Schizosaccharomyces pombe: one gene and its partners. Changing the gene in region 1 together with any one later gene gives a genetic interaction. Each region holds a gene or a part of one and is shown in the gene's direction. Other genes may lie near its edges. The genes, in order: SPOM_SPBC577.03C, pcs60, plt1 and mix23.

What was found.
Region 2: mutations in SPOM_SPBC577.03C (region 1) and pcs60 together harm fitness less than expected from each alone (positive genetic interaction), as found in Schizosaccharomyces pombe (one large-scale study listed by BioGRID).
Region 3: mutations in SPOM_SPBC577.03C (region 1) and plt1 together harm fitness more than expected from each alone (negative genetic interaction), as found in Schizosaccharomyces pombe (one large-scale study listed by BioGRID).
Region 4: mutations in SPOM_SPBC577.03C (region 1) and mix23 together harm fitness more than expected from each alone (negative genetic interaction), as found in Schizosaccharomyces pombe (one large-scale study listed by BioGRID).

Annotation. Positions count from the first base shown.
Region 1 is NC_003423.3:753,902-758,332, reverse strand, and holds SPOM_SPBC577.03C (GCN5-related N-acetyltransferase), read left to right. Parts: upstream 1-1,764; 5' UTR 1,765-2,049; coding exon 2,050-2,236; exon of another isoform or gene 2,237-2,309; coding exon 2,310-2,773; 3' UTR 2,774-3,148; coding exon of another isoform or gene 3,149-3,183; 3' UTR 3,184-3,362; coding exon of another isoform or gene 3,363-3,549; 3' UTR 3,550-3,678; coding exon of another isoform or gene 3,679-3,681; 3' UTR 3,682-3,922; downstream 3,923-4,431. Other genes in the region: meiotic recombination protein Rec27, read left to right, coding at 291-331, 382-537, 587-767; tho5 (THOC5-like protein), read right to left, coding at 988-1,276, 1,360-1,673; rpl3801 (60S ribosomal protein eL38), read right to left, coding at 3,149-3,183, 3,363-3,549, 3,679-3,681.
Region 2 is NC_003421.2:2,377,745-2,382,281, reverse strand, and holds pcs60 (acetyl-CoA ligase), read left to right. Parts: upstream 1-1,818; 5' UTR 1,819-1,866; intron 1,867-1,945; 5' UTR 1,946-2,258; coding exon 2,259-3,797; 3' UTR 3,798-4,030; downstream 4,031-4,537. Other genes in the region: pcy1 (cholinephosphate cytidylyltransferase), read left to right, coding at 4,155-4,537.
Region 3 is NC_003423.3:3,385,869-3,391,054, forward strand, and holds plt1 (phosphate transporter), read left to right. Parts: upstream 1-1,749; 5' UTR 1,750-1,831; coding exon 1,832-1,848; exon of another isoform or gene 1,849-1,894; coding exon 1,895-1,939; exon of another isoform or gene 1,940-1,994; coding exon 1,995-2,015; exon of another isoform or gene 2,016-2,163; coding exon 2,164-4,684; downstream 4,685-5,186. Other genes in the region: diphthamide biosynthesis protein Dph1, read right to left, coding at 51-1,157, 1,246-1,449; mitochondrial F1-FO ATP synthase peripheral stalk assembly factor Ina17, read left to right, coding at 5,100-5,186.
Region 4 is NC_003421.2:1,367,173-1,370,203, reverse strand, and holds mix23 (protein mix23), read left to right. Parts: upstream 1-1,749; 5' UTR 1,750-1,848; coding exon 1,849-1,897; intron 1,898-1,935; exon of another isoform or gene 1,936-1,956; coding exon 1,957-2,411; 3' UTR 2,412-2,480; downstream 2,481-3,031. Other genes in the region: SPOM_SPCC338.03C (uncharacterized protein), read right to left, coding at 860-1,285; protein Mug112, read left to right, coding at 945-1,322; ubiquitin-conjugating enzyme Mms2, read right to left, coding at 2,727-2,790, 2,840-2,919.

The DNA of each region.
Region 1 (4,431 bases):
ATCATTCAGTCATAATAGTTTCTTCTGCAATGTCTTTTTTGTATTGTAGTACGATAATTTATCACATTAACTATTGAATAATGAAACGCGTTTACAGGTATCGCATTGTCAAGTATCTGTTGTATATTTTAGCATATGGCAACTCACTCTTGTAAAGGCTTTATGAATGTTAATTTAAAAAAAAAACAACTTCAAATAACTAGGTATGTATTTTTGAGTCATTTGCTGCCTGCCATTTTTTACTAGGATATAAATAAATTATGGTAACTTTCCTTCTAACAAATACGAATATGAAGAAAAGATCAGAAACATTAGGCTCGGATCAATCTAGGTATGAAAGTAAAGGGAAAAATAATTATAAACGTATACTAATTAAATCAGCTCTGAAATAATTGAGCATGTTTTGGAAGAGTTAAACCTCAAAAACATTGAAAGACGCGTCAAAAAGTATGACCAAATTGAAAGCGAATACAAGACCAATATAGAAAATGAGAAAAAGGCTTTTATAAAGGATGTTTCCCAGGTTCAACAGAAAATGTACGAAAATAAAACGGTAATCCTGGCAGTCATTAACATCAAATTATAGAAAGGAATTTGAGATACAAAAAGCGAATCAAATTAAACAATTGAACGAAGAAAAGCTTTCTATAGAAGCTAGAAAACAACAACTCGAAATCGAAATACGCAATCAGTTGTTACAGTATGCCGAGAAACTGCGAATTGTTGTTAAAACCCCAATGAACCAACCAACAAATACAGAAGTATAAAGTCATTTTAAACACATTATATAAACTAGTGCCATAAAATCATAAAACGAATTAAAAATATGTTATGAGCATACAATTTAATTGAAACTTCAAACTTGAGAATTGAAAAAGTAAAGTGAGGCTAATCGTTTCTAAAAATCTAAATCCGTTCTTTTTATTAAACGCTAAAAAATGGGTAGTAAATGAAATGAATAAACACATAAGTTTTCATGGGAATAATTTACATGGAGGTAATGTTATAGTACTCCTGGACAGGCACGCTGGAGCGAAGGAAAGTCTGCAGCTTTTCATCTCCTTTCTGCAATGCATTCCTCTTTGCTTTATTTTCAGATATTAATGCAGCTTTCCTCTTTAAAAGTTCCTGCTTTAAGGTGGAAAGTCGTTGACGTTCTTTCAGTTCGTCTTCAAGAATCGCAAGCATTAGATCATGATCATTCGAACTCTTAAATTCCGGGTGTTCCTTCAAAAATTCTTCTTTTGAGACGAGTGGTAACGCTGTGTATATATGTCTATTAAAATGGTTAGAAAGAAATGAACAAAGACTTTTGAAATCTGAAAAAAAAAAAAAAAAAGGTAAGGAACTTTCACGTACTCCTTTTCTTCGTAATTTTTTATTATCGTTTTTAAATGCAGCTTTTTGTACTGTAACGCCTGAAGCCGTATACGGGCGTTATCGAGTTCAGACTTGTGTTCGGCTGTTATAGTCTTTGCTTGTACGAGCTGTTCGTAAGATTTTCTATTTGCTTCTCGCAAGATTAAGAGCTTTGACATTAACTGTCGTTTAATTTGCTCGGGATTTTGATCGTCGGCATCTCTGCTATGCTGTTTCAACTCATGAATTCGCAAACACAATGTTCGAGTTGAGTCAAGAACGTTCAAACAATCTGATATTGCATTTTCTGTCATTTTTACGACGAAATACTACTCTTTCTTGGAAATTTTGTAGGAGGAGGTTTCCAAATTGTTTAAAAGAGTAGACGTTTGGGCTTAACTCGTCAACTCAGTATAGCTACGCCTTTACTACCATAAAGGTTAACTGACTAAAACTAACTTCTTATAAGTTGAGCCTTGAATTTATTGTATATATTTGAGAGATTTTCGTTGAATGTCTTTTCAATCAGAGTTCTCGTAAAACTATTTTACTAAACATCAAATCACGTTTTTTTTATCCGTTGCATATATTCAACTTCACGGTTCGGTATCATTTTGATTGATACTGTAAACATTTGGAATAAGTGAGTATTTGGCTATTGAAGAGTCGGTAAAAAAAAGTGTGCTTTCAATGAAAATTAATCAAAATACTACTGTTGATTGCGGCAACTTGATTCTCGTGCCATATCAAAAATGCCATGTGTTAAAATACCATAACTGGATGAAAAATGAGGAATTGCAAGAGCTTACTTGTTCAGAGCCTTTAACTCTTGACGAAGAATATCAAATGCAGGCCTCATGGAGTACTGATGAAGATAGTATGTTATGATGGTTCAACATTCGTGATTGATCAATTGCATCACAAGTTCTAATCATTTTCTAACGATATAGAGCTGACGTTTATCGTTTTACTAAACGAAAACGATGAAGCTAAGAAACCTTCAATTTTGGATCATGTAAAAGCCCACAGCGTTGAATCAATGATTGGGGATGTGAACATGTTTTTGACTGAGGAATACGCAGACGGTATAGAAGAATTTGATGATTCTCCCAGTGATGCTAATGCTACCAATGCTACGAAGGAGTCAGAGGTACATATAGTAGGTGAACTTGAATTGATGATTGCAGAGCCTCAGAATAGAAGGAAAGGATATGGAACCAAGATTGTAGATGCATTTTTGCACTATGTTGAATCCAGTGGAATTGCCAAAAATAAGCAAATCCTTAAGTATCGAGTCAAAGTTGGCTCCCAAAACAAGCCTAGTATTCGGCTATTCAAGAAATTGGGCTTCTCTCAAGTTAAGTACAACGCTTATTTTGATCATGTAGAGCTTGAACTAATGAGGACTTCATAAGCGATGCAACAACGCTTAAAGTTATTTACTTGTTTACTTTATGCAAGTGTTACATGCAGCGAACTACTTTAAAAGGGTTTATTAAAAATTGTTTTCTACACAACCCTATGGCTAATTATACCTCTCATCTCGCAACAACAATTATTTACATACAGACCTTTATTTTATAATCGCGAATTGGGTCTGCTTATAAAATTCGTGAACAACTTGGATAATTTCACCGATTTCTACTCTTCGATTTTTACATTACATTACAAAATAATATGAATACAATCTTTATTGATCATTTTACTTTTGAAAAAGAAAATTTTTGTTTTTAACTGAATGCAAAAACCATGAGAGGTTTCTTTTTCATTAATCACTCAACCAGAAACTTTATGCCTTCTTTCCAACCTCAGTAACGGTCAAATCTATAGAAAACTTGTTAGCTTGAGTTCACTTATATGAACGATTAACTCAGAGCTGATCATTTGTTTCACGAATTATCAACGCTTTAGGAAGAATTCCTTCGCAAAATGCTTTAAGGAAATGTAGTTCCCTCAATAAAAAGTAACTGAGTTAATCTTTCTTAGTAGTTTATATAACATACCGGGAGGAAGAGATTGACGGAGCTTCTCAGCCTTCTTGGCGTCAGCGACAACCAAGGTATACAAGTACTTGGAACAACGAAGCTTGAACTTAACGTCCTTGTTAGTGTTCTTCTTGATGCGGGCAGAAGTAGCATCCTTTCTGCGAGCGATCTCCAAGAATTGCTTAATGTCACTGATTTGACGAGGCTAAAACATGCATTAGTCGATGGTCATTCCTAACACTGAATATATTTTACAGAGACAACTTTAACGAACGAAAGATGAAAACAGTTTTCTCTTCCATAAGCTGCTGAAACCTCTACTTATCTCACTTACCATTTTGTTGAGCTTGGTGAAAGACCAAGAATTCATTCTTTCCAGTTTATCAAAATTTCTGTGACTGTGTTTTACAACTCGAATGGTTTGTAACTCGTTAAAAAGAAATTACGAGCTCTTAATCAGCCGGTATTCGCTCAAGGGGATTAACACTATCCTTCACTATACTGCTTGAATGGGCGTTAGATTGAAGTTCGTTTTTTAAATTGCTTAGCTCAGGTATATACTAAGTGTACGTGATAATAAAATTAAAAAAAAATAGAATAAGAGATGGTCAATATTTATATCTTAATCTATAGTTAATACTTTAATTTTTCCATGCATAATGTTTTTGGAAATTGATAGATGAAGTGTAACAACAAAGAAATGTTTTCAATAGATTTACATATCCATTTGCTATATCTTTTACATCTTTCTATTAGGATCAAACGACTTTATGCTCTTCGTTTTTGAAAACTATATTACATCAATTGCGAAAAAATAGATTTTTACAATAAAATGCTTTCATCCTATCCAAATGTGGATCAAGGCTCTATCTGTCTGTCTACAAAGTATTAACAACATAGCAGCATTCTTGTGAATTATAAAGATAAAGCATACTAACTACTACATATAGAGGAAGTTTGATTTATATGAGCGTGCTTCTATACGAATTTTTTGTTCCACGACGGAAACGACTTTTAAATAAACTCATGAGAAATTCCAACGAAGCTTAAACATTGCCTTTCAAGTGTCAAAATAATTATTGCTTTC
Region 2 (4,537 bases), on another chromosome or scaffold:
TTAAATTGAATGTAAATATAAAATCGAAAATAACATTTGTATAATGTTGGTGATTGTAATAATATTTATTTAAATTAATAGTGCAAAAATTATGCTACTGCTTTAGCTAATTCAAAACTATATTAGATGCAGTCGCAATTTGTATATATTCCTTTTCGTATTAAAAAATAAATACCAAAAATTAATTCGTCACTTGAAATTTGACTGAGCATGATTGTTTAATATTATTTTTGTAAAAAAAAAAAAAAAAAAAAAAAAAAAAATTTTATTATCTTGAGAATAATATGCCTTCAAGCAAACCACCAAATTTAAGACATCAAATTGAGGAAAGAATTTTACGTATGTATATATAATAAATTTTTTAAGAAAAAGGAATTTTAATCTTTGCAGTGAATACTAATAATTATTTAGATGATATAATCCACATATTTTGCAGGTATTGTTTCGCATATGCTCACGCTACTAATTTATGAATCAATGGGAGATAGCGGGAAATATGAAGTGCGAATTAGTTTAAAAAAAGAGAAGATTTAATTCAGTGTTCAAGGCGTTGATGAATGCAACAAACCAGTATAATTTCCTAAAATCAGTAGCAATATCGGACGTATCAGAGATAGACCATGTGAATTTGAGGCGACAAACCACCCGTTTAATTTCAACGTAAAAATCCCTATAACTTCAAACATCGTTTGCAATGTTCTGTTTAATCATTGTAAACTTTACTGTGGATTACTTTATCAAGTGACATTGACATTGTAATCTCGCATAAATTTTTTAACATTTACCTAGCCGACGAATTTAAGGAACATGTCCTTTTCCATAAAAAAAGTTTAAAAGAACCCGAAATAGGAATATTTTGATTCAGCATCAACGGTTTTTACTCAGGGAAGTTCAATATTTAGGATTCCCTTATTATACTTACTTTACTTGAGGGATTCGTTGTCAAATAATAATTCTTTCTCGACCGTTTCTATTTGGGAAATATTAACAAAAGCACTAACACATTTCAAACATATAGCTCTCGATTTAAAAAAAAAACTACTTCAATTAATTTATATTTATATTCATCCAGTAAAAAACTTGATACTTGGTACAATGCTGAAATGATTCCATTACAACTAAACTGGATGAATCCCTTTTAGATTGAGAACGGAGAGACCTGTCTGTATATTCCAGCGTCCTTTAATTAAGTAGATAATTAAGTGCAAGCAATTTTTTCAATCTGCTGTAAAGCACTATTTACATTAATTTTAAAAATTGACAAATGGAAAGTATCGAAGCATTTGCAAGCATGCAAATGCGATCGATTTAAACTAATATAAGTCAAGTTTATGAAGAATAATTTATACATAATAGCGAAATTAATGATTAAAAGAGATAATGAATAACTTTCTCAATTGAAACGCTTAGTTTTGTGAAATTCAGAAAAACAGAAATTTAATTCTACCAACTTAGTTTTTTTTCTTGGAGGTGCTTTAGTATTATACCTTTGAGTCATTTCCGTTGAATTCATTTAATTTGCAAAAGATAGGAAGAATCACTAATGTAGACAAATCAATTCCATTAGTAATGAATTCGATTCGATGCAACCACCATAAATGCCATTCTTCATTCATCAATATTTTTTAACTAATTTCTATAAAAGTCCAGAATAAGGAATCCATATTTTTCTTGTTATACTCTTACCGTAAATTTCGTTACTACCACCTCCCTTTGAATACCGGATAAATCATTGCGTTCGCGCCTAGATCTGTTGCGCAATTTAGGGGATCTAATTTGCAATCGGGTCTAGTACTGTATTCTTGATTTCTTCAACTTAACAAAAACTTACCTTCATTAAAAGAAGAATATTTTAGTTGGTTCATTGTACGTTATTTTAATGAAGCAATAAAAGATTTAATCACTTAATTCAACACTCACTTTACATTTGACTAACATATACAAGTAAAAACCAATTACAAAGGATTTAGGGAAGTTTTCAAGATTTCTCGTCTAAAAGATTTTTTTTCAATACTTGAGTAGTTTTTTCTTGAAGAAACTCTTTATTATTCGTGCGTTGAAAAACTTTTTAGGTATTTAGCTTTACTAGTGTCTTACCTATCTATCCGATTTTTTAACTCATTTTCCGTGTAAACTCATTCCTTTTGCTGCTTCCTTAATCCGCATTTGAGGAGGTTAAACATTGTAATTCTTACTTTTGAATTACTACTTATTTAATTTATCATATATAAACTTTTTTTGGTGTTAGAATTTTGAAAATGTCTTTTACTACTTTATATTCAGCTATTCAAGGTGATGCTAGTGCGAGAGCCTTGGTAGCCCCTTCTTTAAATGCAGAACTATCATTCAGTGAGCTTCGAATTGCTATTATGGATCTTCAGCGCCAAATTGCCAGCCTTGGCATAAAAGTTGGAGACCCTGTAAACATTGCTATTCCCAATGGCTTGGAATTCGTCGTAGCTTTTTACGCTGTTTCTTGGCAAAGAGCTATTTGTGGGCCCCTGAACTCCAACTACAAGCAATCCGAGTTTGAGTTTTACATTGATGATCTGAAAAGTAAACTCGTCATTGTTCCCGAAGGCTCCGTTGCCGCAAATACCCCTGCTGTTCGTGCTGCTAAGAAATTGTCTGTCGCAGTGGCCGAACTTGCTTGGTGTCCCAAGTCTCGATTAGTTCGCATTGTTCACTTTGAAGGAGCCAAAATTAATGCTCCTCAACCACTTGGTCTTCCTCAACCCGACGACGTTATGCTTGTCCTACATACTAGTGGTACCACTGGACGCCCTAAAGTCGTTCCTTTGACTCACAAAAACTTGTGCCGTAGCATCCATAACATTACTACCTCTTATAGATTGGATCCAAGAGATACTTCTTACGTTGTCATGCCTTTGTTTCACGTTCACGGTCTTCTTTGTGGCCTCCTTTCTACTTTAGCTTCTGGTGGATGTGCCGTTGTACCTCCCAAATTCTCTGCTCACAGCTTCTGGAAGGAGTTTATTCAGTATGGTGCTACTTGGTATACTGCGGTCCCCACTATTCATCAAATCCTTCTCCGTACTCCTCCTCCCAAACCTCTTCCTCGAATTCGTTTCATTCGTTCTTGCTCTTCTCCCTTGGCACCACCAGTCTTAAGCAAACTAGAGGCTACCTTCCGTGCTCCTGTCCTTGAGGCATATGCTATGACCGAAGCTTCTCATCAAATGACTACCAATCCCTTACCTCCTTTGGTACACAAACCTCATTCAGTTGGTAAGCCTTTTGGAGTTGAACTCAAAATTTTGGACCAGAAAGGTAACGAAATGCCCCAAGGAAAAGAGGGAGAAATTTGTGTTCGCGGAATCAACGTTACCAAGGGTTATTTGAACAATCCTGCTGCGAATAAGTCATCCTTTACCAAAGATCGTTTTTTCCGTACTGGTGACGAGGGCAAACTTGATAAAGACGGTTACGTTTTTATTACTGGTCGCATCAAGGAGCTTGTTAATCGTGGTGGTGAAAAGATTTCTCCAGCTGAGATTGACGCTGTTTTAATGCAACATCCTGATGTTTCCGAAGCTGTTTGTTTTGCTGTTCCTGACGAAAAATACGGACAAGACATCCAAGCAGCTATTAACCCTGTTGCTGGAAAAACAGTAACCCCCAAGCAGTTACATGACTATTTAGAACAGAAGGTTGCTGCTTTTAAAATCCCTAAAAAGTTTTACTTTACTGATCGTATCCCTAAAACTGCTACTGGAAAAGTGCAACGTCGTTTGGTCTGCGACGCCTTTTTCAATCACTCCAAGGCCAAACTCTAAGAGTATCTGGTACTCAATATTTTGCTTCTTTACCCCAAAACTCGCTAATTTGTCTATTTTAGTTACGAGTTTATAAAGCACACGATGAAATTTTGTTATTAACTGTATCGAATTCAATACTTAGAATAAACTATTTTAGATCACATTAGAAAAGTATTTCCATCTTATCTTATATACTGCTGTAGATTTAAATGAAAAAATAATAATGAGTTTTAAGTCTTTGTAGCGTTCAACAATTTTTTTATGGTCAGCATAAAAATCGTATGTATTGTAATTTAGCTAAAATGTGTATGTGTCCACTGCACCACAAACCGGAACTTCGCAAAACCGTAACACAACCTAAGGAAATTGACAATTATGGGAGAAGAAGGTATTAAGATAAATGATACTCACAAAAGAAGAATAGATGAAGTGGAACCATCTGAAAAAGAAGATAATGTAGAAAGACAGACGAAGAAGTATAATTTCGAGATTGATGAACCTGAAGAACAAGAAAAGAAAGATGAGAAGGAAGATGATAAAGAGGAAAGCCCTTCTAAATCTTTGGAAGAGATATCTCAATCAGTTTCACCTGTAGAGGAGGAGCCTCGTGATGTTCGGTTTAAAGAGCTGTCCACTCCTTTTAGTTACCCTATCAATGATCCTCCTGAGGGTCGTCCTGTTCGAGTTTACGCCGATGGAGTTTTTGACTTGTTTCATATTGGGCATATGAGACAACTAGAACAGGCCAAAAAAGTATT
Region 3 (5,186 bases), 2.6 Mb from region 1:
TATAAGGGTTAAAAAATAACAAGTATTAGTGCCATTAATGGCAAGTAGCGTTAAGAAGAAACGGGTCCGGTTTTTTTGCGATTTGGCAGAGGTCGATTTTCGGGATTATTTGGAGTCCAATTACCTAATGAATTGGTAGCGTAAAAGTCCATAGGATAAACTTCCTTCCAAGGAACAACATTAAAAGCAGCAGATGCTTCATATGGTGTCAACAATGGAGCGGGAAATGCATAGCCCCAATCTATGGAAAGCCTTGGACAAGCGACCTGAATCCACGCGTCAATATCAGAGAATTGACCCAATCTACTAGGAAAAATTTCTGACATTAAAACGCAAACGAAATCTTTATTATTTTTCCTTAAAGTATTCTTTAAATTTTCGAGTACCTTAGGAGACCCCTGTCGACCCAGTGTACCTTGAATTAGACCGAACTTTTTAGCGGTACGAGCTTTCTCAACGGCGGAATACCGAATAGATTTCATTTCTTCATGAGCATAAGATTCAATAGAGAGCTTATGTGAGTAAGGATCATAGCGGTATGCGGGCAAATCAGGATTAGCAATCATGACAGATTCCAAATGGAATCTTCCGTCACCAATGTAAATTAATGCATCTACAGATCCTTTTTCAATATAGGGAGATGTACATCCCAACGCCTCTCCAGGAGATAATGGCTTTGCTTGTGGAATAACAACGTAAAAACCTCCCTTTCCGTCTTCATCCTGTATTTGCAAAGCGTCTTTTATAGAGTTGAGAGATCCAACAAATTGGATAGTTCCAACCAAAGCTAACCTAGAATTGGAGGGTAGATTATGTTTTAAAGATGATACGACATGTTGCAAATCTATCTTTATATCCACGAAAACATATAGCACCTTTATGGGCGTTTGATCAACAGGTATAAGACAAGAATGACCATAGTGTACTAAAAAATCGCAATCGAGTGCCCTAGCTGTAAAATCGTCAATACAACACGCACCGTATGTAACGTCGCCCATCACAATTGTCTCGACCTGGCAAAATTGTTCAAAAATATCAGACAATATACAACCAAACATCAATAGCCCCTCGGGAAGTTGCAAGGCAACACGTTTTGCTTTTCGTAAGCGAATATGCCAAATGGTTTTGTGAATTTCAAAATTGTAATTTTGCGGTAACTATTAAAGGTTAGCTGACCAAGCTTTGATGTTTTTGAGAAAAGAAGAAACTAATTTACGGCATCTTTCTCTAATAAAAGCAGCTTACCAATTTTATAGCTTCATTAATTGCTTTATCGTTTAATATATCCTCTGGGATTTGAGTAGCTACTCGTCCAGCGCTCCTCTTGGAGTTAATAGTGACGAGAGCAGCATTTTCAACATCTCTATTAGAACCATCCAAATTATTTTCCTTCCTATTTTTTTTGCCAACAAAACGACGTTTTGGAATTGATTTTTTCACTTCCGCCATTGTGTTTTAAAATTATAAAGTCTATTACTAAAACCCTTTGAAATCCCAAGAAGTAACCAATGCTATGTATGTATTTAAATTGATAGAATGCCAAAAATCCTTTTTCCCTGCAAATTGCTTGTTTGTTAAATTAAAATACAATAGGATCCCAAATAATTTACTAAGTAAAAAAGCATTGCACTTTGCTATATTATTTAACACACGTTGTTATATTACGCTATTTCTATCGGAGGTTGGATCCACGAATACAGCTTCACCTCCGATCATAGGCCACGAAATTTGAACGGCTAACGCTCCTTTAGATTGTTCCAAATTAATTTGCGTGAATAAGCTAAAGCTGTTTTTAGTCACAATTGAAGTTAAATGACCTCTGTCATCCAAGATGAAATTCAGTCATAGGTTTGTTGCATCAGTTTTCACAAGACTTGTTCTAATTACTTTTTAGTCTTCAATTTAATGCAGTACCGGAATGGTCCGAAAGCTACATTGCGTAAGTAAACAACCTGTTGGATTACTTCCGATTTTTGCTAACAATCGGTGCTTAGTTACTCGAACCTTAAGAAGCTGTATGTTTGAAAATTCTCGAGCTTACGACTGGCTATTATGATATATCCTATATTCCGACAAATTCATACTTGCGAAATTTGGGATAATGTCTGATTAACAGCCGGAGAATAAAATTGTACTTGAATTTTGCTAACATATATTTTTAAGTATTTATTCATTGGAACATGAACAGATAACATTACAACAAGGCGCTCCAGATGAAGAAACTAGGCTGTTAGAGCACGAAAGAAGATCACCCGATGATCGCTTTATGTTTGCTTTAGACAAGGAATTACAAGGAATTGTTGAATTTTATGCTCCTAAAGAAAAAGAAATTGCTGATCAGTATGGTAGAATTAAGGGCGAATTTGAAACCTATGAGAATGAGTATATGAGTCAGGGAAACAACATTAATTACCCTACCCCTGAACGATTACAAAAGAGCTCAGCGAGTAGGAAATCTGGTCGTATGGCCCGCAGCCAAGAATTGCCTCGCATTACTTCTTCAAACCGTGAGATATATCTCAATGGGCAAACTAGTGATGGAGGTTATGCGGCCCCTGCTATATCTAGAGCAGAATCTACTGCTATTCAACCGTCTGAACCTCATGATGTCGATACTTCTAAAAACGGTTTATCAAAAAAACAACATTCAGAAGCTCAACCTGAGGTACAAGGCAATGATGATGAGGTGGAGGAGGAAGATGATGATGATGATGATGAAGATGAGGACGAAGATGAAGACGAAGATAACAACAATAACAATCGATGGTTGCTTATTGAACAATATCCATCTGATATTGTTGCGTACGAAAACTTCGTTTCTTTAAAGCGAAAACTGACACAGTTGTATGTTTCAATTCATGACTTGATTTCGTACGTCCATCTTAATTATACTGGTTTTTCAAAAATCTTAAAAAAATATGATAAAACTTTGGGTAGTAGCCTTCGTGAATCGTACATGAAGCGCGTCAACCAAGCTTACCCTTTCCTTCCTGCTACTGGGAAAACATTGTCAAAGCGTTTAAATATTGTTGCAGAGTGGTATGCTAAGCTATGCTGTCAAGGCGATACATTTGTGGCTATCCGTCGCCTTCGTGGTCATCTTCGTGAATACGTTGCATGGGAAAGGAACACTATTTGGCGTGAAATGATGGCTATGGAGCGTCGTACTCAGGCCGCGAGATTATCAGGACTGAAGCCTGTCGCAGCTGATGAGAAAGAATCAGAACAGCCCCCCTATTTTACAATCAAAACTAAATTTGGTGTTTTTAGAATCCCAAGATGCTTCTTTAATAGCACGATTGCAACTTTAATTACTATTATCGTTATATTTATTCTCTTATTAAGTTTTCCTGTCATAGATAATAGGGAACAGAACAATTGTTTGGCTTTGTTAGTAATGGTTTCTTTATTATGGGCTACGGAGGCTATTCCTTTGTTCGTTACTTCGTTTTTGGTTCCTTTTATGACTGTGTTTTTGAAAATTTTGAGAGATGAGAACGGTTCACCTCTTTCTGGAAAGGAATCAACAAAGGTTATATTTAGTTCGATGTGGAATCCAACTATAGTTTTGCTTTTAGGAGGTTTTACCATTGCAGCTGCTCTAAGCAAATATCATATTGCTAAAAGGTTGGCGACTTCCATTTTAGCGCATGCAGGGCGTAAGCCTAGAAGCGTGCTTCTTACAAACATGTTCGTTGCCATGTTTGCTAGTATGTGGATTAGCAACGTTGCTGCGCCAGTGTTGTGTTTTTCTATTATTCAGCCCCTTCTGAGAAATTTACCAGCAGAGTCCGATTTTGCAAAGATACTAATTGTGGGTATTGCTTTGGCATCTAATGTTGGAGGTATTGCTTCGCCTATTTCATCCCCACAAAATATTGTTGCGCTACAGAATATGGATCCCGCTGCGGGATGGGGTGAATGGTTTGCCGTCAGTATTCCTGTATCGTTACTGTGTATATTTTCTATATGGTTTCTGTTGTCTTTTGGATTACTGAAAGATGAGCACATCACTTTAGCTAAAATTCGCTCCACCAAGGATACATTTACTGGTGTCCAATGGTTTATTTCCATTGTTACGATTGGTACTATAGTCCTTTGGTGCCTTGAACGCCGCTTCGATGAGGTGTTTGGTGATATGGGTGTTATTGCATTAGTCCCAATCATTGTATTCTTCGGAACAGGTTTGTTAACCAAGGAGGATTTTAATAATTTTTTGTGGACAGTCATAGTTTTGGCAATGGGAGGTGTTGCGTTAGGAAAAGTAGTGTCTTCTTCCGGCCTTTTAGAACTTATTGCCCTTAAAATAGGTAATGCTGTTTCTTCCCTTAATACATTTAGGGTACTGCTTATTTTTTCTGCTTTGACTCTTGTTGTTTCTTCATTTATTTCTCATATAGTAGCTGCAATGGTGGTACTTCCCATTGTCCATGAAGTTGGAAGTCGCCTTGCCGATCCTCATCCACGTCTTTTCGTTTTGGCTTCGGGAATGATGTGTAGTCTTGCTATGGCTTTGCCAACCAGTGGTTTTCCTAATATGACAGCTATCATGATGGAAAATGAAGCTGGCAAAAGATATTTGAAAGTTAGTGACTTTTTAAAAGCTGGTATTCCTGCCACACTAATTTCCTTCGTGATTCTCCTATTAATTGGAACACCAATCATGCGAGCACTTGGATTTTAACCTCCTAATTTGTAAACGGTACTGTATCTTTCTTTTTATAATTTTTGAGTCGAAGCATGTTCTGCTGCATAACACATTCATATTTGTCAATTCTACTTAAATAGATTTTAAATCATTGCATTCGAAGATAAAATTATGGTAGCTTAGTGTTCCTACGGATCTTAATGTATTTATATGTTCACTTTATAATACGATACAAAACAAATTTTATCTCTCCTTTGTTTCAAATTGACTGGCAAAAAAAAATAACAAATAACTAATCACAAAAACCTAAGGAATATGAAAAATAGTTGCTAATTTTCGTAGAAACTTGGATCTTGATTAGAAATGAACCAAATTATGCATCATTCAAATAGATTGTAGTGTGTATGGTGCAGCGGGAACGTTATAATTAACCATCACCTATAGTCTCAAAATGTTACGCAAATTGCCCATCAATTTTGCGAAATGGACTGTAAAAAAGGTGCCAGTTCAGCAGAAAAGATTTAATAGTCAACAAAAA
Region 4 (3,031 bases), on another chromosome or scaffold:
AGTTAACCTACTTGAATAACAGAATAAATACTATTATTTAACACAACAAATGTCTACGGCCATACCTAGGCGAAAACACCAGTTCCCGTCCGATCACTGCAGTTAAGCGTCTGAGGGCCTCGTTAGTACTATGGTTGGAGACAACATGGGAATCCGGGGTGCTGTAGGCTTCCTTTTATTCTTTTTGCTTTTTCTGCTTTATTTTAATTCCTCGTTTTCGACATCAAATCAGTCATACTATAATGAATGGTTATTTCTCATGCGAGTTAGATTTCCCATCTGTAAAACTAAGCCCTTTTTAATAGAAATTCGTAAAAAACTGTTTTTTTTAAAAGAAATTCTATACATAAATTTATAACTATTTAATACTTATAGTTTTTTTTTTATTATTTATAAACAGAAGCTATCAATTCCTCTTTTTAAGTAAATCCAATTATGAAAGTATGTGATACTCTGAAGAGATTTTGATAAAAAGAAAGCAAAAAAAATATTTTCATTAAAAAGCAGCCCTGATTTTATCAACTGATTGTAGAAGAGCGGCTCAAAGAAGGTTCTTATGGATAAACAGTTTAAATTGTAGTTTCCCTTCACATTTATCAATAAATGTCTCAATTTTAAAGAAAAAGAAAAGTTTCTGATTTGCAAAAGGATGATCATACAATTGGCTCATTAAAACATATTTGCTTTTTGTTTACATATTAATCCAAGGTAAACAAACACACAGTTCTCCTCATCACCTAAACTTACAGAATATTAAAGCCACCAAATGCTTAACAGATAAGAGAATCTTTTCATCCTGTTTCTTGAAAAAGAAAAAAAATCACTATCCAAGAAAACGTTGATCAGATATTTTTATTTGTCAGAAAAAAGATCTTGAAACCTCAATCGCTATAAAAAAGTTTGAAATCAATAAAGAAAAAGATTGAATATAACAAGTAAACAATATGGAAGTGCAGAAAATTTGGAAATCATTCCTCAATGCCATTTCAAAAGTGTTCTCGAAGGGCAAAAAATTAAGATGCACGTGTTTTCCCAAACGGAAGAAGGAAGCTTCAGAGAGAAGTTGTTTTCCATTTCTAGATACTGAAACCATTTCTTCTTGTGATTTGAGCGACGATGTTCTTTCTCCCAAACTGTTCGCCAAAAATTCATATCGCTGCTCTCTCAAGGAAACGAAATGTATCGATGTAATAGTGAGCCATAATTCTCTTGCTCCACAATTCACAGAAATCAGGTACACAGATGGTATATCTGCAAAAGCTGAAAACACTGATGAAATGACCATGCATATAGCCTTGGCCCCTTTGACCGAAAACCAATAATGAAACGATTACACAGGTTGTCTTTTGATTTCAAGAGAACATACAAATATGAATGAAGTAGGGGAAATTTTTTGTCACACAAAAACTGCTTTTGCCGAGAATTAAATTGTATACGAATGAAATTGTCAATGTCATGATCAGACCCTCGGTAAAATGATATGCTGAGTTCAAGCATATGCACATTTTTAAAAAATAAATTGCTCGATAAAAGGCAACTTCACCTGGATTGTTAAGCATATCATATTCACAATGGTAAAAGTATTAGTCTACATAAAATCCTCCCTGCCAATTCGCAATCATTTACTTTATCAGCTGTTTTTTTAAATGTTAAATATCGAAAGTTGAAAATTCTAGTTGATATCCCAAATGGTAGCCGAAAGCTACATTTCAATCAAATAGGCCCCATTTGGTAATTAGCACACACATACAAAGAACGAATTTACCAGGCGACTGAGTCTTTCTTTCAAAAACCAAAATCCCCTCTAATAAACTATTAATTAGGAAAACAAAATTGATATTAAACACAATGAATGAAGAAAAACGGGGTCTTTGCATGAATATAAGGTATTTGAAAAGTATGCGAACACTGTTTTTTTTACACAACCAATTCATCCAATACTAATCATACTTTTAGATGTTTTGAGGAAAGCTAGAAAGATAGACGATACCATCCAATTATCTCTTAATTCAGCAAAATGGGAATACCCAGAAGGGAAGGTACATGAAACCCAAGAAGAGCGTTGTCAAAACGTAAAGAAAAAGTTGTTCGAAGGTTGGTTAAGTCGGGATCAATTCTTAAAAGAATGTCAAACTATTGTACGATCACAACTTGATCAAGATCGAAATACTTCCAAATCACCCTTAAAATCACAGCAGCAATTGCCTTCATCATCAACGACTCAGGTTTCCGAACGTTTGGATCCTTACGCTAAAGAGGTGCAAGTGCAATTATCCCCTCCGGAAGAGGTACAAATTGTCTTACAAAGTGAACTATCTGTCGAACAAATCATACGAGATCAAACGTGGGAAGTTCTGACAAATGCTTGTCCTGGAATGTTTAAGGATTGGAGAGACACTTATAAAGACTAATTACTTTTTGTAGCCTCAAATTTTTTTATGATTCTAAAAGAAATGTTTACAATAAAAATTCCGACACATAAATACACAACACCAAAATGTCAAATACAGGTATAGAATTAATATCTTTAGGTATTGTAAGTTATCATTTTGTAATGTAATTTGCATGTTTTAAGGATCGTTGATGTAAAGAAAGCAAAAAAGGAAAATAGGAATACACATAGTGTCGAAACTATGGATAATGTAAGCTAAGAAGGCCACCATCAGCGATCGAATAATAGGAACAATAGCTGAAAGATTCTGTACTATGAGAGTTCCTTTTTTGCTTTAAAAAAATGTACTACCCTCAGGGGGCTGAGGAAGTTTTCGGTTGGAAGAGGATGCCATTTCTCTAAAACATAAGTTAGGATGATCATTCATACGAAGTTTAATAGACATACTTTTTTAAATCTAGAAGAACAGTTTCCATAGAGTATTCTCTCTTCCAATGGCGAAGGCAGTCAATTTTGTGGGGATTTACCTAATTAACGTTAGTATGAACTGAAAAAAGCTTGATTTTTTTATTTCGCGTAAAATTAGCTTCTCTTCGTTAAGCCAACACCAAATTCTCATTTTCATACAATATACTGATA